Alligator mississippiensis: one gene and its partners. The protein of the gene in region 2 binds, or shares a complex with, the protein of the main gene of each other region. Links are inferred from orthologs where the notes say so. Each region holds a gene or a part of one and is shown on either strand. Other genes may lie near its edges. The genes, in order: NTF4, NTRK2 and FRS2.

Region 1 (7,933 bases), on a different chromosome or scaffold from region 2:
CCCAGCACCTAGCCATGCCCCAGTCCCCCCTATATCCCAGCCCTGGGACCCAAGGGAGGGCCTGCAGGTTGGGAGCGAGAGGCCTTAGGTGTTACCTGCCAGCTTAGTGGGGGTCTCGACCACGTTGCTCCCAGAAGTCCCGGGCCCTGGTCCGATTCATGTCCCTTCCGGTATTGGGCCCAGCAGAGTGCTGCAGCCTCTTCCTGATCTCCCCAGGGCAGGTGATGGCTGGGGGTCCCCCAGGCTCTGCTCCCTGCCCCCCCGCCCCTCCCGGGTCCTACCAGGCACCAGGGCTCTGTATCAGGACCCCCACAACCCTGGGGGCCTCACCAACCAGCCAGTCCTGGCCTGGGCACCCCATGGGCTCAGCAGCAAGTGGGGGGGTCTCAAGGTCAGCCTGACTTAGGGGGCCCCTCCCAGGGGGTCTGGAGCATCTACCACACTTGGGGGGTGAGGAGTGTTTGGGGGGGTTCAGCCAGTCAGGGGGGCTGGAGCTGGGGCTGTCACTCAGAAGACCTGGGAGGGAAGAGAAAGACAGAAAAGCTGTTGGCTGGAGTGAGAACCCAGGTGTCTGGGCTCCCCCCACCCCCTGCTGTAAGCAGCCCCCTCAGAGCTGGGTGAGGACCCAGGGTTCCTGGATCCCTGTGCCCTGACTCGCTAGATGTATTTGCAAAGCTGGGGGTGAACCCAGGCATCCTGGTACCCAGTCCCCCTCCCCCCGTCCCGTGTTGGCTGAGAACAGGTAGCTGGGTGCATGGGGGATGTGGGGGAGGTCCCGGGACAGCTGCCTGCTGGGTTTCAGTTTCAAAGGCGGGTCGGATCAGCCCCCAACTCGACCCCGACGCCCTCCCCAGATGTGCCTGCATCTGGATTCCATTCACTGCCCCCGTCCCCCCCCTTCCCGCAGCCGCCAGCTTTGGAATCCACCACCAGTGACAGAGGCCTCCAACCTGCCCTGACGGGGGCCGGGCTCCGCTGGAGCTGGGGGGCCGAGTCCTGGGGGATGGGCTGGGGGTGGGCGCCGCGTCCACCCCCGCCTGGGCCCGGGCTGGTCTGTGTCATGGGGTTTAGAGGCGGGGGCTGTCCACGCAGCTCCAGCCCCTGGAGCGAGCCCCGGGGGGGCCGTGTCCACGGGGCTGCGCTTGGCTCTATGGGGTGTGGGCCGGGGGGAGGCAGCCAGGACGCCCAGCGCGGGGGGACTGCGAGAAACCCCCGCCCTGCTCCCAGAACTGTGGGGGGCGGGGCCGGCCCGGGGCGATTTGCATACCGCGTTACCCACAATGCCTGGCGCCCTGACCCCGCTGGGGTGGGGGCGCTGACAGATCCGTGCGAGCGCCCCCGCCCCCGCCGCGAGCGACTGCAGCGAGTGCCGGCCTGTCTCGGCCCTCTGCCTCCCCCAGCCCTGCCGGTGCCCCGCACTCCTAACCCGCAGGCCCTGTCCCCCTGGCTCTGCCGGTGCCCTTCACTTCCGACCCATAGCCCCCGCCCTTCCCAGTGCCCCTCTCCTCCCGCCCTACTGCCCCCCCCGCCCCCCCCTCAGACTACAGGTGCCCTCACTCCCGACCTGCAGCCCCCTTGCTAGCCCCAGCCGGCTATGCCCTGCCAGGGCATATCACCAGGAGCAGGCAAGGTTTCTGGACGAGTGTGCAGGATTGGGCCGCGGGCAGGGAAGAGGAGTCAATCTGTGCTGCTTGGGGTCAGGGTGACAGGTGTGAGGAGTGGGGACCCTGTGCCAGGCCTGGGTACTGGAGAGGGGGCAAACCCACCAGAGCTGAAGGTGCATCCAGGGCCTTGCTGTGACCAGAGCCCCCCCCCAGCTGAGAAAGAACCCAGGTGTCCGGGCCCCAGGCTCACCAGGCCCCACACCCTTCCCAGAGCAGGGAGAGAACCCAGGTGTCCAGGGCTCCCAGCCCCCATGTAGGAGCCTGGGCGGGGGGAGGGGGAGTCTGTCTGTCTGGCTGTGTATCTGTCAGGGGCCTGACTCACAGCTAATGCAGCCCAGGCCCTGCAGCCCCTCCCTGGGAGACCTCAGAGGCTCCATCCCTCTCCACCAGCTGCTTCCCATTGAGGGCGGCCTCTGCCTGAAGGTGAGTGAGGGAGGGGGGAGGCCAGGAATCCCCCACCCCTCCGCCTGCCAGGAAGCTCCCCACAGCCCAGGCTCAGGCAGGGAGGAACCCCCCCCAACCCCCAGCATGAGTTTACAGGGACCCAGAGCACACAGGAACTCCCCAAGGACCCCTGCCATAAATGCAGCCCCGCTGGTGCCCCTCATCCCTGACCTGCACACCCCAGGTGCCCCTCACTCCCAACCTGCACCCCCTTCTAGCTCTGCCGGTACCCCAACCCGTAGTCCCTTGCTCCCACTCTACAGGTTCCCCATCACACCTACCTGATCTCCTTTGCCTTCTCTTCCCCCTCCAAAGGCTGGGAGCCCGGATGCCTGGGTTCTATCCCCAGCTCCTCTGGGAGGTGTCAAGGCATGTGGGATGGGGAACGGACAGACAGACAGACAACTCCCCCAGTTACTGGGCACAGATCCTGGCCCTGGCCCTAGCCCCAGCGTGCGCAAGAGAGCCTTTGGGTTTCAACATGAAAAGTTAATAAAGTCGCCGCCGAAGGGGCTGGTTTCGGTTTTCTGGGCAGCGATTGAATGGCAGGGCGGGGAGAAGGGGGGGGCGCGGGGCCTGGGATGGGGGGGGCCTGGCATCCCCCCTGGCTTTGATCTCCGAGTTATTGGGGAAGAAACAGAGGGGGAAGAAGGGAGGAGGCAGATGGGGTAGGGGGGCTGGGGGAGATGGGTGAGGGGGCTTGGCCAGTGGAGGGACCTGGGGGGGAGTCCTGTACTCCATGCCCACTTGCCTGCTTCTTCCCCCACCCCACCTGCCTCTGGGTGGGGGCACAATAGGGGCACCTGATCCTTCTCCCCCACCCCCTCTCCTTCCCCGGGATCTGGCTTTGATTAAGGTCCCAGGGCGACTGGGTGATGATGGGGTCGGAGGCCAGGGGGGCAGAGAACCTTCCCCCCCACCCCTGCCATGGGGCATGCCAAAGCCACCAGAGGGCAGAGCCAAGGGGGCACAGGTGCCCCCCGCCCAGCCCAAACCAGAGGCTCCCCCCAGGAGGGCAGGGCCTGGCTCACCTGAGCCAGGCAGCGCCGGGGCCCGCCCCCTGAAGCCCCCTACCCACCCCTCCCTTCCCCACCTACACCCAGTTCCCATCACTTCTCACCCGTGAAACCTGAACCCCAGACCCCCCCTGCGTCTGGGGGCCAGAGAGAACAAAGCAGCCGGCTCCTCTGCCAGCCACCCCCCAGGGACCCCAGACCTGTCTGGCCTCCTCTTTTCATCTCCCTTTTGTCCTGCTCTGTGTGTGTGCGTTTGGGGGGGGGCTGAGCTGGGGCGTGGGTGCATCTCCTATTACCCAGCCTGGCCAGGCTGGTTTTATTGGAGGGGGCGATGAGAGAGAGTCCGGCCTACCTGAGCCTGACATACCCTTCACACCTCTTGCAGCCCCCCAGAGCCAGGGATCCCGGGGGGGGGCAGGATGGGGGGGGCGTTTCACACACCATCTCGGAGCAGTAGGTGAAACCATTTAAGCTGCCTTCCCCCTGCTGGAGTTTCTCTGGAGGGAAAAAACTTATGGAAATGTCTTCCCAAAAACCCCATGAAAAGATCACCTGGGTTTGTGGATCCCCAGGGTGGGGGTCACTACAGGGTGGGCTAGCTATGCATACGAGCAGTGGGTGAACACCCCCCAGTGCTTTTCTAGGGGATATAAAAAACCTATGGAAATGTCTTCCCAAAAACTCCATTAAAAGGTCCCCCAGGATGTGGGTCCCAGGGGTGGGGGTCACTATGGGGTGGGCTAACTAGAAGAATGAGCAGTGGGTGAAGGGCCTATGGGGGCTTCTCCTGGTGCTTTTCCTGGGGATTCCAGTAAATAAATAAAATAAGTAAAAGTCTTGCCAAAAAACTCTGTTAACAGATCGTCAGAGGCCATCTATGCCCAGGGTGTGTGTGTGAGGGGTGCGATGAGGCATTGTGTCCTATATTGTGTGTGTTTTGTTGCATGTTGTATGAGCATGTTTTGTGTCATACATTGCGTGTGTATTTCATGTACTCTGGACCTGTACACATGTTGGCATATGCTGTCTGTGCATGTGTGCATTGTCCTACAGTGTGTGTGTGTTTGTGTGAGAGAGAGAGAAACCCCTGCTGGAGGGCATGTGTGTGTGACCCCCTGCTGGAGGGAGGGGTGTGTGTGAGAGCCCCCCTTCTGGAGCACATAGGTCCCACTCCATGTATGAGCCTGCATGTGCTGCCCCCTGCTGGAGGGGACAAGCCAAACAAGTGTGTGTGTGCATAAGCCTGCTGTACACTGGGAAGATAAAGTTGTATGTGTGTGTGTGTGTCCAGGTGCAAAGGGGTTCTGAGGGGGGGGCATGGGTTGGGCTTGTCCCTCATGGTGGTGTGGGGGGGAAAATGTTTGCTGGTCATTTGGTTGTACTTGGAGACAAGGGCGGGGTGGGGCGGGGCTGGGTGGTGAGGTGGGAGGTTGTGTGCACCTGTGGGGGGGGTGTGTGTGTGCATGTCTGGGGGTGCATGTTTGCATGTGTTGGTGTATACATGTATGTATGTGGGTGTATACATGTATGTGCATGTTTGGGGGGCTGTTGTATACATATGAGTACATGTCTGGGGTATGTATGTGTTAGTGTATACACATGTATGTGTGCGTCTGGTGTGTGCATCAGTGTATACATGTGTGACAGATGCATGCATATGTATGATTTATACACAGTTGTGTGTGTGTGCTGGGCATGTGTGTGCATGTGTCGGTGTATACATGTGTGCCAGTGTATACACAAATGCATGTCTCTGGGTGTATCCATTGGTATATACACGTGTGTGTCTGCAGGGTGTGTGCGTGTCTGTAGGTGCACATGGGGGCAAGGGGGGAAAGCTGCAGGGTGCTGCGGTGCTAAGGGGTTTGGGGGTCTGTGCCACATGCCGGGCTGATGGATCTAGGGGGCGGAGGGTCAGGCCCTCCCCCCGCCTGTGCGTTCCTGGCCAGGAGCCATTTTCAGGCAGTGCTTGGGTGGGGCCAACGTGTCCCGACGAACCCCCAGCCCCCCCCAGGCTGCATTCCATGGGGCTTACGGGGTGGGACGCCAGAGTCCCAGCACAGTGCCCAAGGCAGGGAACTCCCCCACCCTGCCTGTGCCCCTTACTTTTGACCTGCAGCCCCTTGCCCCCCAAAATCCCCGCCAGTGCCCCTCACTCCTGACTCACAGCCCCCCACCCCCTTCCCCCCCTCTCCCCCTGCCCCCAATTGCAGAGTAGGGTGTGGGGGCTGAGGGAAGGTGAGTGCTGAGCATTGGTGCTGCCTCCTGGTGGCTGGGCATTGTGTGGGGGGAGTGGAATTAATTTTGGGGTGACAAAAGGAGCAGCCACAGCCAGAAGGAGGTGCTAGAAGGATCCTGACCTCTGTAAGTGATGAATATGACCTCACTCAAGGCCCCCTGGATCCTTCCCAGCAGAGACAGAACCCAGGCCACCGGGCTGCCAGCTCCTCATCCCAACCCCCAGCCCTGGCCCCCCCTGGCCCCTCCAGAGTCAGGCTAGAACCCAGGCATCTGTGCTCCTGCCACCCCTAGACCCCATTGCTTTCGCAGAGCCAGGGTAGAACCCCCCCCCAACACATGTGCATGCATACGCACATGCACATGCACATGCACAAGCACACGCACTCTCTCTCTCTCTCTCTCTCTCTCTCTCTCTCTCTCTCTCTCTCTCTCTCTCTCTCTCTCCCCCCCCCCCCCCAATAGAGACAGCTGTTTTATCTTTTAAAACAGGACTAATAGGAAAAACAAGGCTGAGGTTTGGAAGCTGGGGAAGATGGAGCAAGGAGGGGTTAGGGACAGCCAGTGGGGACCAGGGTGGGGAACAGGTACTCACCAACCCCTGGACCCCCACGACCAACCAGCCTCTCACCCACCAGGGCTTTTTTATGGCCCCTTGTCCCATAGTGTTTTATATTAAAGCCATAAGGAAAGCCAGGGGGGGAAGACGGGCCTTGAAGGTGGGGGGAGACTGGGGCAGTCTCAGAACGCGCCCTCCCCCCCCAGGTGATGGGTCTCTATTCATCCCTGCAAGGAGGAGGTCAGTGGGGCTTGGTCTTAGGTCCACTTGTACCCCATGGGGTTAGTGAGGAGTTTCTCCCTTCCTTTTCTCCCCCCAGGAGAGACCAACACCAGCTTCCCTCTAGGGTTGTGGGGGGTATGAGTGAGGGGAACCCCCCCTCCACCAGCCATGCCATGCAGTCAGCTCTGGAGTGGAATGGGCCCATGGGGGTGGAGGGTATATACAGCCAGCCCTTGGCTGCCTGCTCTGGGAGGGAAGGAGTTAATCTCCTCCCCTGCACTGGGGGCAGCTGGTTCTGCTCAGACTGGTTTTATGAAGAGCAGGACTGGGGCCTGGGGCTTCCTGAAAGGACCTGACCCTTTAGAGAGGGGGGCACAGGCTGCTACAGCTGCTACACAGTGAGAGGCACCCACAGGGCTGGGGGGCAGGGGGCTGCTGGTTGGGTGTGAGAAGCACCAACAGGGCTTGGGGGGACGGGGGGCTGCGGTTGGGAGTGAGGGGCACTGGCAGAGCTAGGGGGGCAGGGGGCTGCAGGTCAGGAGGGCACCAGCAGGGCTGGGGGGCAAGGGGCTGCTGGTTGGGAGTGAGGGGCACCAGGGAGGCCTCCTGGGTGGGCAAGGTCACAGTGGGTGGGGCCCACAGCATCTCCCTTTACCCCATTCACCCTGAGGAACGAGTCTGGCTGCTTCCTCTGCCTAAGCAGAAACAGGTCCAGGGAGTGAACCCCTGCCTCCCCTCTCCAGCCCTGACCTCCGACTTTTGACCTACCCTAAACCCAGCCCTTAGAAGTCTAATTGCAACCAGGGAGGAAGAGCCAGAGGCGGCTGCATCTCCTTGGACAGATTAGAGCCCCTGTATAGCCTCCCTCTAATTTACCCCACCCCAAAGGCAGCTGCATCTCAGCATTGGTTGAGGAGGTGTCGTATAACCAGACTGTAATGTGCCTACCCCAGAGGTGGCTGCATCCCAGGGTCCCGCACCACGTCCAGCCCATAGCCAGGCTTGGGGTGTGTGTGGCACAGGACTGGCAGGGCTAGACACCAGGTCAAGCAGGTGCATGGGCATGTGGGCTATGGTGTACTGTGTGTGCACCATGGTGCTGACAACCATGCTGGGTGTCATCCTGATCCTCACCATCCACCTGGGCAACCCCAAAATAAAGCAGGCTCTGGGCATGGGCAGGCACAGCAAGGAGGTCTCCAGCCTGGACACCTTCCTGGACCTCATCCACAACCTTTTCTCCAAGAACCTGGTGCAGGCCTGCTTCCAGCAGGTAAGGGCATCACTGCAGGGTGGCGGCACTGGGTGTTGGGCTCTGTGCTCAGTGTTCCCTCCCTGTTGGGTGTGCAGGGCTTGGGACCCACATCCTCTCTACCACTGGCACAGGAACCCTCTGCTGGTACCTCGCAGCCAGATGCGCCTCCCCCTCCTTCCCCGCAGATGTTCTGCAGATGCTTTAAGCAGCTGCTGCCTCCATGTCTCACTGCCCACACCTCCCCTGCCCAACCCCCATCACCTGCCCCTGGCTTTTGGAGGAAGAACGTGCCCCCCTACTCCTGCAAAAAATCAGGGCAATAGGGTCTGGCGTGCTGGTGGTGGTGGGGGTGGTCTGGAAGCCAGGACACCTGGGTTCCTCGCAGCTCTGGAGGGGCTCAGCAGGGGGCTGGGAGCCAGGACTCCTCAGTTTTGTGGGTCCTGCTCTCTGCTCCACTCGCTGCCTGTGTCTGGGCCATCCCTGTGCTGGGGTCAGGAGAGGTCTGGGCATCCTGCTCCCAACCCCCAGCTCCTGC
Region 2 (7,659 bases):
AAGTTGCCAATACTGAATACAACGTTGATAGATAAAGCAGCAATCAGAACAGGAAGAAGGCAGGCAACCGGTATGAGGAAGTTATGGGTTTTTGATACTTTTTCCTTCCTGGAGATCTCATCAGTGGGTCACAACCTGTGCTGAATGGAGCTGAGAGGAAGCAGAATTGTTCTTTCTTCTTAATAGTGAGATGGGACATCTTTTAAAATAATTATGCCAACAAGGGTAGAAGTTATATTCCCAGGTCAGCTTACACCTAGGAAATAATTAGGTACACTATGTGCTAATGCAAGAGAATTCCCAACAGTAAGTCTTTTAGGGCTTTTTCTATCCCAGCTTTTAAAGATATCAGTTAAATCCACAAACATTTTTTTGGATCCTTTGGCAATGTGTTAACAGTGGTTCCATTAACGACAGTAAAACAACCAAGCCACTCCCAAATATAGACTGAATTTTTAATAGCACTGATGGAAGTACTCTTATTAATTGGGATGAACATGCCTGATTTTGAGTGGTGCACATTAATGGATTTATACTGGTGCAAAGCCAGCATAAGAGAGACCCCCACAAATTTTGTATTTGGAGAAAATGACAAATTAGGGACAAACAGGACCACTATCAACCCTCAACATTTCTCAGAGAATGCCATGCACTCTTATCAAACTTTAAAATGAAAAGGTGTGTATGGTCTGCAGATCTTTGGAAAGGACTCATGAATCAACAGTTGTCTACAGGCCACAGTTTGGAAACCACTGCTCCAGAACATGAACATTTACAAAGGGTAGAGTTATCACAAAACAGATATGAAGGCAAGACACAAATCATTTTCTGTTAAATCAGTGGCCTTACCAATATCTGTGAATTCTCAGATATTTTACTGTGGAAGCTGGTGTATAGAAAGAGTGATAAAGGAGATGCCAGTTCGCTAACACAAAATCCCCGTTACAAACAGTTCCTGTACAACGTATGCGTTCATCAAAGGCAGTAAAAGGCAAAAGAAACACATGTATAAAGGTTGTGAGCTGAACAACCATTAAAAAAATAAAAATTCTATTTTGCAACCATGTTCAATGTTTTGAAATTAGTTTTAATTCTAAAATAAAACTAAAACAAAACCTTTCAGAAGTTTTCGCAAAATGGATTTATGTCTAAACATCTGTTTTGATCTTTTTCTCTTCAGAAAGTCCAGCTGGGATCTAAGAAACAATCATATGAAAACTTTAATTAGAATAGGTATGTTTTTTGTAAACCATTTCTGTTTAGAAAAAAAAATGTATACTTTGACCAAAAAAAAGAAGTCTTCAGCAAAACATTTGCAACCAGCTATTGCTGTAGGCAGAAATATTTTCTACTTTATTTTATGCTATTAGTTCATTTTCTATTTTTTTTCAGGTTGTTATATGGTACCCAATCCTCATATTATTCTTCAGGACTATTTTGAGATTGTTCCCATTATTGTTTTTAGAAATGACATAGTTAAGCACTTGGCAAGAAGGGGATGTACTCTGAAAAGAAGATTTATGTCTGGATAACAATTTTTATCACCTTTATGCAGATTGAAAAAAAATTAATTTAACAAGATAACATTGTTGGCAATATTTTCAATTATGTCTGTTTATCATATGCTCATTCATTCCATTAAAGAGAGGTATAATGTTACTAATATGGTTATGACTATTCTAATAAGATGATGTAATTTTTATGTGGTAGTGATTACGCCTGTGTTAAGCCTTTGAGCACATCCAGTGCGAATCAAATGTTTCCTGAAGCCTAAGTAGATTCAGGCAAAGCTAAGTGCTTATGCAATTAATAAAAGTGCAGTGCCAACTTGACTCATGAGTACTTTCTAAACATCGTGATCACCTCTTGTTTTATGCTTCCTTAACAATGCCTATGTAGCTTTTTTCTCTCTAATTCCCCAGTGAAATGGGAGTTGGTTACATCAAAGGACTGAGCTGGAATATACATATATGAAATTAAGATAAAAAAGGCCCTCAATGTCATTTCTATAAAATGGTGAGATTTTACCTAACAGATTGGAAGCCAACATGGAAGGTGACTGGTCACTGGCTATTTGGCAGAAGATCAGGATTGGAGAAGGACAGAGAACAACTGCAGAATGAATGGTATGAGACCAAAACTTTAATTTTACATAAACACAATTCAGCTTGAACTGGCCACTCCCAGACATACACCTACTAATGAGGACCTGTTAAGTGCCTCACTACCTGCAGAGATGTCCGATCTGGCTGCACGTACAGTAGAAAATGTGATGTGCAAGCCCAACATCCAAAAGACATGAAATCTTTTGTGCAGGCTACTACATAAGGCCACTCTAAAAGAAATGACATTCAAGGGCCCAGAGTTTAGCACATCTTGTGCTCAGCAGGTGGATTGCTCAAGACTGGCTACCCTGAGATTTGTATTTTAACAAACCCAATGAAGACCAAACCAAACCATGAAAGTCCCTTTGTTTGGTGGACACAGGAATTTTCTTCTTTTTCATCTCCCACTGTGGAAAAGTCGGCCTGAACAGCTATAATTAAACATGGGAGCTGGATCCTACTCTCGTGTGATCAAGGCTGGATTAACGCATGGACCCACAGGGCCTGGGTCCAGGGGCCCCTGCCAATCAGGGGCCCCAAGGGTGCAGTAGCAGCATGGCCCAGGCAGCCATCCTGGCTGCAGGCATCTGGGGCAGGCAGTGTGTTCCTCCTTCCCTCAGGCTGGGCCAGGGCCAGGGGCTAGGGCCAGGTGCCAGGCTCCTTGGAGGCAGCGGTTGCTTCCCAGACCTGTCTGCTGCCAGAAGCCCCATGGGCAGCTCTGCTCTCACTCCCCACCATTGCAGGCGGCCACTGGCATCAATGCCACTGGGACAAGACAGGGTGGGACAGTTCCGCCCCATCAGGCAGGGCAGAGGGGTGGGCTGGCATGCAGTTGGGGGTGGTACAGAGCTTGTGTCCTGGCCTGCCCTGCAGTGCTGGGTGACTGCAGCTCTGGCTGCACAAGATCTGCCAGGCAGAGGGGCCCAGCCAGACTGGGTCTGGGGTCACCTTCACCAGTGGTGATGCATAGGGGGTGCACAGGGGTGCACGTGCACCCCCTGAGAGCACTGGTGCACCCCTTGACAACCAGCATTCCCCACTTAGGTGACAGGCAGGGAGGGCAGAAGGGAGCACTGGTGCCCCCCCTGTGAGTGCCAGCCAGGGAGTGGGGGCACCAGGAGTAGCACAGCTGGCACTTCTGGGCACGCCGCTGGCACTTTCAGGTCAGCATGCCGCTGGCACACCTGGGCATGCTGTTGGCACTTCCGGGTCAGCACGATTGGCTGCTGGTTGGCGCAATTGGGGTAGGCGCAGTCAGCTGCGGGGGGACCCCACTCCCGGTTGCTGACTGGCCGCTGAAGCACACCCCCTGACGCCAGTCGCCCATGGCCTTCACTTCAGCAGCACTCAAGCCCCCTGACTTGTCCCGGACATGCCAAGGAGGTGGGATGGGCCCAGCCACAGCCCCCTGGTGGGCTTAGAGCCAACCTGCCCTCGCCAAGAGGTGGGGGTCCTCTAATTTTCTGTTTGTCCAGGGTCCCAGTAAATCTTAATCTGCCACTGATGGTGAAACAAGATTCCTAATGAGAGGACTTAACAAAAGGCCGCAGGGCTGGGAACAACACCCCGTGCCCAGTTCCCTTGAGGGGCATGAGGGTGGCGAGGTGTGGAATCAGGCAACGCAGGAGCCAAGGCTTTCTGCAGGTGGCACCCGGGGTGGCTGCAGGCGGGTGCAGTGCAGGCTGCGAGGCACGGGGTGGCGCCTCAGCTCTTTGAAGTCTGAGGCACTGCGGTGGATTTTCTTTTAAATGACTGCGGAAAAAAAAGGGGTGATGGGAAGGGCGGGGGGGTAGTAAGGGAGAAAAACCCAACCTCTGGAGCCACTAATGAAAAGCCCAAATTCCCAGACAAGGGAATGTCCGTCCTTCCTCAGGCACCTGAGGGCTGAGAAGGGCTCCCTTTGATTAGGAGAGGGGAGCAGGTCCCTGGGGAGCACGGGGGGCGGCGGAGGGGGGATGCGGCAGCGGGCTCGGGCTGGGGAAGGCGCGGGGCCGTCCCTCCTCCAGCCCAGAGGGTGCCTGAGAAGCTGGCGGGGGCCCGGGAGTGGTGCAAGGCGGGCGGGGCGGGGGAGATGAAGAGCCCCTGAGCTGTCCAAAAAAAAAAAGATTCACAGAGCATGAGGGGCGGGTGGGACTCGAGTGCAGCCCCCCGTGCTCAGCTGCACAGCCCCAGAGCGGGGGGCTTCTGGGCAGGGGCTGAGCTGGAGCCCGGGCGGGAGGGAGCTGCGGGCGGACGCTGCCCCCTTGCCAGCCCCAAGAAGGGGCACGCGGCTGCGGGCTGCGCTCTCTCCGCGCGCGCGGCGCCGCCGCCTATTGGTATCTCCTTGCAAACCGCCCCCCCTTGTTGCTTTTGTCTTGGTTTTTTTTTTTTTTTTTTGGCTGATTTGGTGGAGTTTCTGCCCCTCTCTGCGTCAGCCCCACGTAATCAGCTCGCCGGCAGCGCCCGGGCTGGGGCTTGCAGCGCACGAGCCCGGGCTGCTTTATTATCAGGCGGAGGGAGGAGACGGGGCGGGAAGCCGCCGGCCCCGAGCCCCCCTGGCAGGTAGGAGCAGCCGCCGCCGCCACCTGCCCCCGCCGCCGGGCTCTGCAGCATCCGCGGCGGCAGGTGCTGCGCGGGCGCGGGCGGTGCCTGGGGCCGGGCGCTGCTCCGCGCAGCCCATGTGAGGCCGGGCCCGATGCCACGCTGAAGCTCCGCGCCCAGGGAAGAAGGGGCCCAGCCATGGGGCCGTGGCGAAGGCGGTGGCAGGGCCCCGGGCTGTGGGGCTTGTGCTGCCTGGTGCTGGGCTCCTGGCCGGGGCTGCTGGCCTGCCCCACGTCCTGCCGCTGCAGCGCCTGGCGCATCTGGTGCACGGAGCCCGCGCCGGGCGTCGTGTCCTTCCCGCGGCTGGAGAGGAGCGCGGAGCGGGACAACATCAGCGACATGTGAGTAGCGGCCGGGGCGGGGCGGGGCACGGGGCACGGGGCACGGGGCACGGGCGGGGAGGGAGCCCCCGGGTCGTGCTGCCCGGCGCGCGGCCCTGCTCTGCACGTCTGTCTGCGCCGCGGGGCAACGGCCCCCTCTTCCCCGGGGCCGGGGCCGGGGCCGGGGCCGGGCGGGCAGCTCCGGGCGCCTCAGCAGAGACACCCGCTGCCCCTCTGCCTCGCTCGCCCCCGAGGCTGACGCTTTCCTTTCGGGATCACTCAAGCACCAGTTCTATCTACCATTAGCCCTAGGTATAGATACATATATTAGCCCTATATAGGATATAATATAATATAATATAATATAAACATAAATATGTGTATATATTATATACACATACAGATAGATAGCTAGATAGATATAGAGTATAGATATGGTATGGAATATCCATGGATATGGAGTATGGAATATGGTATGGATATGTATGGGTAGGGAATAGATCTATATATATCTGTGCATGTGTATAATCATATATATACACTTATATGTGTATATATATTAGATATTAGACATATATATATATCAGATACATATATGGCTAATATATTATATTTTATATATATTATATATATGGCTAATACTAGTCTTCCCTGCAGCCCTCTACACACACACACACACACACACACACACACACACACACACACGTATGTTTAAAATACATGTACATATATACATACATGCACACGAATATAGATATATGTATATTTGTGTTCATGTATGTATATATATGGTGTGTGTATTATATATATATATAATACACACACACATACACAGTAGTGTATATATACATACACGCATATGCACACAGAGGCACGCACACATTATATACATTCCCACTCACATATATATAAACAGGCACACACATCTACATATATGTGCACATGCCCATGCGCACACACGCACACATGCACACACAAGAAAGAACAAGGAGGTTTTGCTGAACACCGTTGAGATGATTTGGGAAGTGATCCGTCAAGCTGAGAAGTTCCGTGCATTGAAATGCACTTGTTCAATAAGAAACAATGCAAGAGTTGGAAGCCTAAAAGCCCAGCGTGATTTAATTTAGGGTTGACTTTCAAGAGATATCATTTCAAAGCCATTTAGATTATAAATCTTAATTGCCCCCAGCTACAATTTCCTGGGAATAAGTTGGATGATAAAGCCATACAGCCCATAGGTTGGTACTGATTTTAGTACATGACCAATGTGTAATAATAATAATAATAATAATAATAATAATAATAAATCCTTGACAGATTTTGCTAGGAGTAGGCAATTCATTAGCTATTGTTTTATCCCTTTCTCTTACAAATTGTTGTAGATCTCTAAGTAATTAATGCACACTGTCCATCTTTTTGTTGACAGTACATTGAATAGGTGATTCTTTCCCCTTGCATCCAACCTCACTTGGTAATATGCATGGACACTGTTTTGCACTTGCTCCTTGTCTGTAAGGTAGCTTAGAAAGGCTGCAACATCAATTCTATGTATCAGTTCAGAATCACTCATTTTCCCCTAGTTGTACATAACATGTATTTCCCTTGTAAATTCCCTCATCATTTATAAGGCTTTGACAAGTGTTCTACCTGAGCCATTATGTTGTTTGAATTGCTGTTAGCCAGACTGCAGATGACACTCAAGTAGTGGGGTCTGTACTTGTTTGTGGTCCAATCCTGCATTTTATACTCAGGCCACATTTTCATTGAAGTCAGTGTATTTTGTCTGAGAGAGGCATCAGAGTTAAAAGACTCTGAGTTTGAATCAAAGAATAGAAGTTAGAGATGGAAAAGACTGCTATGGATGCCTTGCCTACCCCCTTCTTCTCTTTCCCCTTCCTGTTCCTGGATTGTTTTTTACAGTGTTTTTAATATATAACATACTTTTTTTTTGCCAAAAATTGCATAGAAACCTCACCATCCCCTTTCCCTTTTTAGAATGAAAAATCCCATGTAATTCACTATAACTTTTGATTTATTCTTCCCATTTGGCTTTGTGCTGCTCATTGTAGACCCTTTGCTGCTTTTACCTATGTGTGTGCATGGCAGAGGGAAAGGCTGGTGGCATTTACTGTAATTACTATTTGCAGGGCCTACATTAAATAGATCCTAGTATTTTTGTATTGACATGAGACAATGGAGCACCATTTCTAGTCTGGTATGGCAAGGATCATTTCAGAGCTTATTCCACATTTTTTGTAATGTGAATTAAAAAAGACACTTTATGCCATGCATTGCTACTTGTTTTTTGCTGCTTTGCCTTCCTCCTTATTATCAAATAGCTTTAATTTAGAGGTGATGTCTGGTGATAGGCCAGAAATAAAACAAAATAATAAATGCATATATATTTTGCAAGATGGGCCAACCTAAAGCATGTTTTCTTGTGTTACACTTTGAAAACTTCACATTTGTATTAGCTGATTTTTCTTTTCTGTATTTTTCGTCAGTACCAGCCGCCTTGTTTTTCACTGCATCACCCTGTGGCATTACATCTTGTTGTGATTGGTGATGTAAAAATAACTTCAAATCGCTCATTTTCCAGGAGACATTATTGCCGATATTTAAAAATTAAAACAAAAAACTAAACAGAAATCAAA
Region 3 (7,813 bases), on a different chromosome or scaffold from region 2:
GAACTTTAAACTTGAGTCGCTTCATTGATTTCACTAGAACTAAGCCGTGTAAAGTTAAGCACGTTTACAAGAAAAATAGATTTTAAACATTTTTTTTCTGGTCAAGTATTATTAGCAAGCTAATCTTGTCTGAACCTAGTTCTAGAGTTTGTATCAATGACTGCAAAGTGGCAAACAAGAATGAATAGCAGAGCACCTATTTGCACATAACTGAATGTAAGGTAAAACAGGCTAGAGCTATTTAAAGGCTGCTTAACAAATGGACTAGAATAGAATCTGGTTATTGAAAATACTTTTAGACATAACTACACACGCACAAATCATTTTTGAGAAAATGTTGAGAATTTGCTCTTTGTCCAATGCATCTGCCACTTAAGAACTAACATCTATTTTCACTGAGCTCTGAACTTAGTTTTAGTCTTAACTTAGTAAAGGTCATCTCTAGGCACAGCTACTACCCAACAGAATCATTCTAACTTTTATTTGGTTAATTAGCCTTGCTACTCACAGCCAGTGTATTTTATCCACATTTCTTTTATACGATTGATTTCCAGGTAGAACTGACCTAACATTTCTTTCCACCAAGCTAAGCTGAAATTCACAGTCTTGAAGACCATTTGTGGAGAAGTCCCATAAAACAGCAGCAGTTCAAAACAACAAAAATGACCATTTTGTGTACAAAGCTAAACAACATTTATAAAATAAATTCTCCCCTTTATAACACTACCATGGTTTGTTACATGAGTGAGAGATACATACATTGCTATGCAATATTTAAACAATAAGTTTGGAATCTATGCACATCTTTTTTAGAACTATTTTCCATATTATCAGAATCTAGGATTTTTTCAACACATTATAGAATTACTACACTTGAAGAGGCTGCATAGAAAAGATTACAGTCTTTGGTGGATACAAAGAATGGTCAAAATTTAAATTAAGACGCTGAACTGGAAAGAAAGCAAAATCATGGAAGGAAAAATTAAACATATGAATATGGTTACTGGAATACTGTTTTAATAAGCACTTCCAACACATTTTTGACACAGAAGCACATGTTAATCAGGGGGCAATAATCAAATGAAAGGCAAATGAGAAAGGGACTGAATTTAGAGTTTGATGGGTAATTGCTACCAATATAACATGCATTTCCTTTTTAAAAAAGGAGAGAGAAAAGAGTGTTTTCAGTGCAGTGGAAACTGAGGAATATGTATATGGGACTCCACTTCTAGCTAACTTCAGTACTGATATTGGGCACTTTCTGGAACTGAACCTATACATCTTAATAGCAAAACATTTTAATGCACCACGGAACCATACAAAAACCCATATAGCTTTTCCCCTTCTAGAAACTAGACTGCTCAGCTACTAAATTGCATCCAGAAGAATATTAGTGTAAAGAAACTGCCAATATCAAAGCAGCTTGAAATCGACAACTATTCAGGAAAAAAGTGCATGCTTTCTCTTTCATAAATTCACAATGCATCCACACCTTGAATACTGTACCCAGTTTTGGTCTCCACACCTCAAAAAGGGCACAAGAACCAGAGAAGATCCAAAGAAAGACAATACACATGATTAGCAGTCAGGTGGGGTTTCCATAAGAGAAGACATTAAACAGACTAGGCCTATTAAGTTTAGAAGAGAGATGCTTGAGGGAGGACATCAGGGTTTACCAAAATACTAAATGGCAAAGAGAAAGTAGAGAGATTTATTACTCACCCTCTCACAAGACAAGAACTAGGAGGGTCACAAAATGAAACGAGTAGGTAATAAGTTTCAAATGAACAAAAGGAAGCTCTGTTTCATACAGCATGCCATTGAAGCGTGGAATTCACTGCCATGAGATGTTGCGCAAGTTGACAGCTTAGCCAGACTAAAAAAGAGAGAGGATAAACTCTTGGAGGAAACAGTCATCAGTAGCTACTGAGCATGGGAGTCAGGGGTGCAGCCTCTGAATCAGAACTTCCTAGCCCAGCATTTCTCAGCCCATGGGTCAGGACACAAAAGTGGGTCACAAGAATATATGAAAGGGTCAAGAAGAAACTTTAAAAATGGATCAATAATGGATTCGCCTTTAAAGGAGAAAAACATGGGAAACCGTGGCTTTTCCCTTGCAAGCTGGCAGAGCTCCAGCCTGCAAGGGGCTGCTTGGGCCCCCCTGCCCCACACAATGAGGAACTGGGGTCTGGGGGCAGTGGATCAGGAGTGACAAGCACTGGGTTGGGACTAGCCATCAATGTTTACAAATGGGTCCTGGTACAAAAAAGGTTGAGAACCCCTGCCCTAGACCTTAATGCTAGAGGCTGCAAGTGAGAGAGAAACAGTGGGGAAGGAAAAAACCCTGGTCATACCCAGTTTGGTCTGTCAGCATGCACTCTCTGCCACTATGCAACTGGGAAGAAAGGGGGCCAGTTCCTGCCTGAAGCCCAGTGTGACACAAGAGACCAACCAAAAAGGACCTACAGCTTGACCCAGTCAATAGACATCACTTCTCCTGAAGCCTGTCCAGCAGAATAAGAAAGCATTTGAAGAGCACATTCAAAAAGAAGTTGCTAGGGAAAAAATAAAAAGGAATAAAAAAAGTCGCCCAAAAAGAGCTGGTCAGCAGCACAGAGCACCACAGAGGCCAGGCTGATGCCAAGCCTGACTCGTCCTACCTCCTTCCCCACCGCTAAGCACGATGTTGCACTGTGACTAATCACTCAGGCGCCTCACAGGCGCTCCCTGGTCACTGCCACCTGCGGACAAGCCGTGCGAGCACCGCAGCCGCGGGGGGACCTGCAGCACCACTCCCCCAGGACCCTTCAGCCCCAGGGCACCCGCCGCCAAGCGGGTCTGGGGAACCTCCGGGACAGCATCAAGGGGAGGGCGGGACACCAGGACCCTCCCGGCCTCCGTGTGCGCAGACAGGGCGAGGGGGCCCGCTCCTGCCCCTCCAGGCTCCCGGCTCGAGCTGAGCCGGCAGCAAACGCTCCCCAGACCGGGGCTTCTGCTCTCGCCCGTCGCCTCCCGCCAACCGCCCTGGCCGGCTCCGCTCCCGTCGCCCTGCGCGGGCTGCGGCCGCCGGCGCCTCACGGGTGGGGGGCACAGGGGGAGCCCCGGCCCCAGGAGACTGCGAGCCTGCGCACGGGGCCCTCCCGGCACTCACCTCCGCCATGAGCCCGGGCCTGGCCGCGGGGCCGGGCCGGGCTCCGAGTGCCGCCGCCGCTACCAACAGCAACTCCCAACAGCGGCACCAACAGGGCCTCGCTCTGGGCCGGACTCTGCCCGAACTACTTCCGAGGCACCCCCACAACTACTTCCGGGGGCAGCGGGAAAGGGCCAGGGCGGGGAGACACGGCCAAGGGGCCCGAAGCGGCCGGCGCGGGAACAGCCAATAGGAAGGGAGAGCGACTGGGGGGGGGGTGGTGGCTGCCATGACAACCGCGTATGCAAATCGTTCAGTGAGCGCGTTCAGTGACTGGCTGTTCTTTTGCATGGAGTTGGAGCGCGGGGCAGGCACTGCCCGTGCGACCCGGTGCTGCGGGGCAGAGGGGAGCTGTCGAGGGCCTCGGTGCCGGACGGCGTGCCCGCCCGCCCAGGGACACGGAGCTGGCTCTCGCTGCTTCGGCACGCGGATAGGGCACCAGTAGTATCGGTTCTGCGGGCCGAAGTGGTGGCGCCTGGGGCTGGATTGGCCAGCCGCCTTCCACAGCTCCTAAGCCTGCAGAAATAAGTCTAGGCAGCTGCATCAGAGGCCGCGGGGAAGCCAAGGCCATGTCTGGGGCAACCTGGCAAAAGCTGCAGCTGGTTTTACCCAACATGGAGAGAGCAGGGGGGGTGGGTCTCAGGGCCTTTCTCCTTGGCTGACATCCCGCTGTCATTTTAGGCGGTGCTCTGCTATTTCAGCCCCCCCGCCCCCAGTTTCTCACATGATTTCTTATAAAAAGGGAGGTGACAACACTGGCACTAAAAGGAGAAGTGTAAAGAGGTTTGGAAAACTGCAAGAAAGATACAGGGAAGTAGCACACAGCTGCCTCTGGTCCTCATCACAGCATGACCTTTGGGACCTTCCTGCTTTTAAAAAAGTTTAGGACCATGTCTTTCTTGCTTCCTTTCTGTAGGACTGTCCTGTGGTTCTTCAGGTACTGTCTTGTCAGCGTGCTTGTTAACAGGCGAGATGGGTCACTGTCCTCAGGAGTTTGAAATCTAGAACTGCTTATAAGTGTTTGTGAAATTACCTCTTTTGATCCAGTCAGTCAATATTTGGGAACCTGTGGGATGGGTGTTTCCACAAGGAGGAAAAACTGATGGTGGAGTTGTGTATTTTTTGGATGCAGTTCCATATACTTGCAAAAGAATGCGTGCCGTGCCCCAGGACACAAAAGGAATCAAACTTGCCGTAGTTCCTTTGCATCCCATACTGCCCAAAAAGCTCACCTTCATCCTCCTCTCAGGCTGTACTACAATTGCTTCTCTCTTATTCTCTGCCTGACTTTTTTGCTTCCTCCTCTATCTTCTTCAGGTTGCTGACATGCATCTCCACCACACACTACCAAGCCTCTTACACTTTCACTCAGCAACTCGATTCTGCCCGCTTCAATGAAACTTGTTAATGCTCTGAGTTTGGGTCAGTGGTTCCCTCCGTTGCAGCTGTCATACTTTAGAAAGTAGCTCAAGTGTTTCTTGCAAGATGGCTGTCTCACCTGGCTGCTTCAACAAGTTATTCCCCTGCTTTCTACATAACTATCCCACAGCCAGTCACAGAGGTTACAGTTTACCAAGAGAATTAGGCAGATAAGGTTCTTTGGGTGAATCTGATACCTTTTTATTAGACCAGCTTAACTATTTAAGTTGGTCTAATAAAACATAGATTCACCCAAAGAACCTTGCCTGCCTATGTCCTTAGACCAGCACGGCTACAACCTACACCCCTGTATCAAGAGAATTTGCATTCCTGCAAATTAAGGGAAGAGAGGAAACACATATCTTTCAAAGCACACTCATGCTTTATGCAGCCTTTTCATTGCTCTATTAAGGGCAATGTTTGTGATTCGTCTACTAAAAAAGCCAGCAAATTAAGATACCCTTATTATCGTGCTTGTGCCCATGTCAGCATATGGCTGTGAAATCATGGCACTGCAATCTGTCTAACCCCTTGCAAGTTGTCTCTTAGGATTCCTCAAGGGTTGTTGCAGGGGTGAATGGTCTGCTTTGCTAACAGATTATCTCCAGTACAAACAGTGGTGACCACCTTCTATAGATTTACCACTCCAGAGTTCCTTTCAAGCGATACAATAATTTCTTCCAAGATGAACTTAAACTAAAGTAAAAAGCCACCACCATCTCAAGTTCTTTTTGTTTTTGTGGTAATAATGTCCCTGACTTGTAACCACTGGCATCCGTGTCCATTCTGAAGAGGGTTTTGAAAAATGGGTAGGCTAAAATAGGAGCAAGCCATTTTCAACTCCAAAACAGCTAAATCTCACTTTGCTGGCCCCTAAATGGTTTCCCTCTCTCACCCAAGCTATGCGATGGTTTTCCAGTATTGGCAAACCTACAAATTAATCTTGTATAATAGGAGAAGAGAAGTCTACACATCTGAGTGCCTGGGGAGTTGGCTGGTACAGCACAGCTCCAATTTACCTTTTTGTCAGTAGAAATTGCCCCTCCGCCCCTCAGCGATCCCCACCCCTCCACCCACACCAATTATAAACAATGCACATTTTCTTTGGGTTCAGTTTCAAACTGGAAACTGATCATAAACCATCATTTCCCATTTTAAAGGTGTCAGAATGCTTCATTTGGAGGCTTGCCTGCCTCTTACATCTTTCAGCATAATCTAATATACCCACTGCACACCAATGGTTTACAACTCATTGGCTTTGCCTGAACCATATTTGTAAAGGCAATTTCCACCAACTAAATTCATTGAATGTGTTTCCCGACATTTAAGGCAATAGTGTAGCATAAGAACCAGTACAGAATAGAATAAAATAGAATTTATTTCAGTTATAGCTGTAATAAAATCAAGTCAAGTATTAGCACATCCACTGTGTCTGCTAACCACATTTTGCCCCTTTTTAAATAGGTGTACACTTCTCAACTGTAGTCTCCATTTGAGATGAATTAGATCAAATCCTGAGCTACTTATTTCTTCACAATTTTAGTACAGTATATTTGAGACAATATCCACAACCCCCACACAGCATGCCACAAATCCTATAACACATTTTATAACCAGATTCCCGTTATTGTAGTCTAACTGCCCAGATCTTTAAAAAAATCCTATTGGGGCTGATCTTTATACCTCTAAACATTGTGCTTTCATAATTGGGATTGGGTGAGAGGCTTTCACTAGGAAATTCTGACTCTGTCTTGGGGAGCATTATACATATACTTCACCCATCAGTTCCAATAATGTTTCCTCTCATCTTTTGTCTAGCAATGTGTTCCATTCTTCTTGCAATTGTACTGGCTGTATGTGAACATGTGTACTTGTGGTACCTTTGCTTTAAGGTCACACTGGAAAATTTTCTCGCCAAATGTATGCATAACTTTCTTTTAATTTGGCTTTGACCAGGTTGCCTGTTCATTTCCTTGATGAGCCTATAGAAATATAGATGACAAGTGAAATGCTAAGACTAATTACTCCAAGTTGCTATATGAATTAGCATTTAATTGTCTGTACAGAAGCAAATATACAGAAATGCTTAGAGACAGTGTGCTTCCTAATATGCTTTTATAATGGATTACAGAAGATAACTGACAGTAGGAGTCAGAGCTATTAATCAAACATTTGTTATTGAATACATATGGCATCCATTTTTTAATTCCTTCAGAGAGACATTTATATGATACCCCTAATTTCTTTAACCATAATGTGTAGGAATTGAGAATAGGGTGATTTTGCTAATAACCAAGATGAAAGGTCTGCAAGTGGAATTTATGAACTGCCTACCAATTTAATGTTTGAAAATCCTAAACCCTTAAAGAGAACTCCATAGAACTGAAATTAATAAAAGTTAATATCCTTTATACACATGGACCCAGTCATGAATGGTTAAAGTTAGTGAGAGTTTTGCTATTTATTAGAAAAAACATACAAACTACTGCAGTATGGATAAGACACCATTCTATAAAAAAGAGAGTTTAAGAAGAACACTTCTTTTTTATATAATTGCTTTCTCCAGTTGTAATAAACATGCATTTTATATTATTAAATACAAAAGGCAAACCTTTCTAAAGACATGAGAGTATTGTATGTTAACAGTTTTTGAGGAGCTTCTCACCATTTATTTGAACAGTGAAGGATGAAATAGATGTTTTAAAGTCAATGAAAATATTTCCAAAACATAATACAATTAAGTCTGGTTTATCATGAACAATAATTATATGTTACTCACAAAGATTTTTCCACTCAACAGTAGAACTTATGATAAAACCAAATTTTAAGTTCCCTATCCCTTTAATATAATTACATGCTGAGTAGAAATTTCTGTTTTCAGAGGCTCTTATATCAGCAGAAATAATTTCATGTTGAGCAGTACTGAAAATAGCAAAGGGCAATTCTTTTTGACACAAAAACATTCTCTTCCAGCGATATTAATTCCCTCATTCCAAAAATAAAGTATGTGGTTAAAACTCAAACCACGATTATTAGAAGTTGTGTTGAATTTTCCAGAAACATTAAAACAATGCTGGATATTTCCAACTCAGTTTGAAAAAAAATATATATAAAATTTGGTAACTATTCATTTAACTAATGCCCTGATTCTTTAAACAGCCTTGCATGCTTGAGTGATCCATCTACAGTGATCATGTGTTGATA

What was found.
Region 1: the proteins of NTRK2 (region 2) and NTF4 are in contact, whole or in part, in a crystal structure (PDB 1HCF), measured with the Homo sapiens proteins. The link is inferred for Alligator mississippiensis from reciprocal best matches to the Homo sapiens genes NTRK2 and NTF4. Residues at the interface, in NP_001018074.1 of Homo sapiens: Phe291, Glu293, Thr296, Ser297, Asp298, His299, Cys302, Pro304, Thr306, His335, Val336, His343, Gly344, Cys345, Asn350, Thr352, His353, Met379, Gly380, Trp381, Pro382, Gly383; in NP_001382418.1 of Homo sapiens: Gly81, Val82, Ser83, Glu84, Thr85, Ala86, Ser89, Arg90, Arg91, Gly92, Glu93, Leu94, Ala95, Asp98, Ala99, Ser101, Gly102, Trp103, Thr105, Tyr135, Phe137.
Region 3: the proteins of NTRK2 (region 2) and FRS2 are in contact, whole or in part, in an NMR structure (PDB 2MFQ), measured with the Homo sapiens proteins. The link is inferred for Alligator mississippiensis from reciprocal best matches to the Homo sapiens genes NTRK2 and FRS2. Residues at the interface, in NP_001018074.1 of Homo sapiens: Pro498, Asp499, Val501, Ile503, Gly504, Met505, Thr506, Lys507, Ile508, Pro509, Val510, Ile511, Glu512, Asn513, Pro514, Gln515, Tyr516, Gly518, Ile519; in NP_001036020.1 of Homo sapiens: Val26, Asp27, Asp28, Asp29, Gly30, Tyr59, Leu60, Cys61, Leu62, Arg63, Arg64, Tyr65, Gly66, Tyr67, Asp68, Ser69, Asn70, Leu71, Phe72, Ser73, Gly77, Arg78, Ile86, Ala88, Lys90, Phe98, Gln102, Met105, Gln106, Ser109.

Annotation. Positions count from the first base shown.
Region 1 is NC_081828.1:39,901,642-39,909,574, reverse strand, and holds the start of NTF4 (neurotrophin-4), read right to left. Parts: upstream 3,102-7,933; 5' UTR 2,390-3,101; intron 1,378-2,389; exon of another isoform or gene 951-1,377; intron 517-950; exon of another isoform or gene 96-516; intron 1-95. UniProt on the Homo sapiens protein: Target-derived survival factor for peripheral sensory sympathetic neurons. May promote ameloblast differentiation and subsequent reduction in proliferation of ameloblasts.
Region 2 is NC_081826.1:203,483,880-203,491,538, forward strand, and holds the start of NTRK2 (BDNF/NT-3 growth factors receptor), read left to right. Parts: upstream 1-4,346; 5' UTR 4,347-4,823; coding exon 4,824-5,026; intron 5,027-7,659. UniProt on the Homo sapiens protein: Receptor tyrosine kinase involved in the development and the maturation of the central and the peripheral nervous systems through regulation of neuron survival, proliferation, migration, differentiation, and synapse formation and plasticity.
Region 3 is NC_081827.1:69,859,311-69,867,123, reverse strand, and holds the start of FRS2 (fibroblast growth factor receptor substrate 2), read right to left. Parts: upstream 3,287-7,813; 5' UTR 3,152-3,286; intron 1,877-3,151; exon of another isoform or gene 1,723-1,876; intron 1-1,722. UniProt on the Homo sapiens protein: Adapter protein that links activated FGR and NGF receptors to downstream signaling pathways.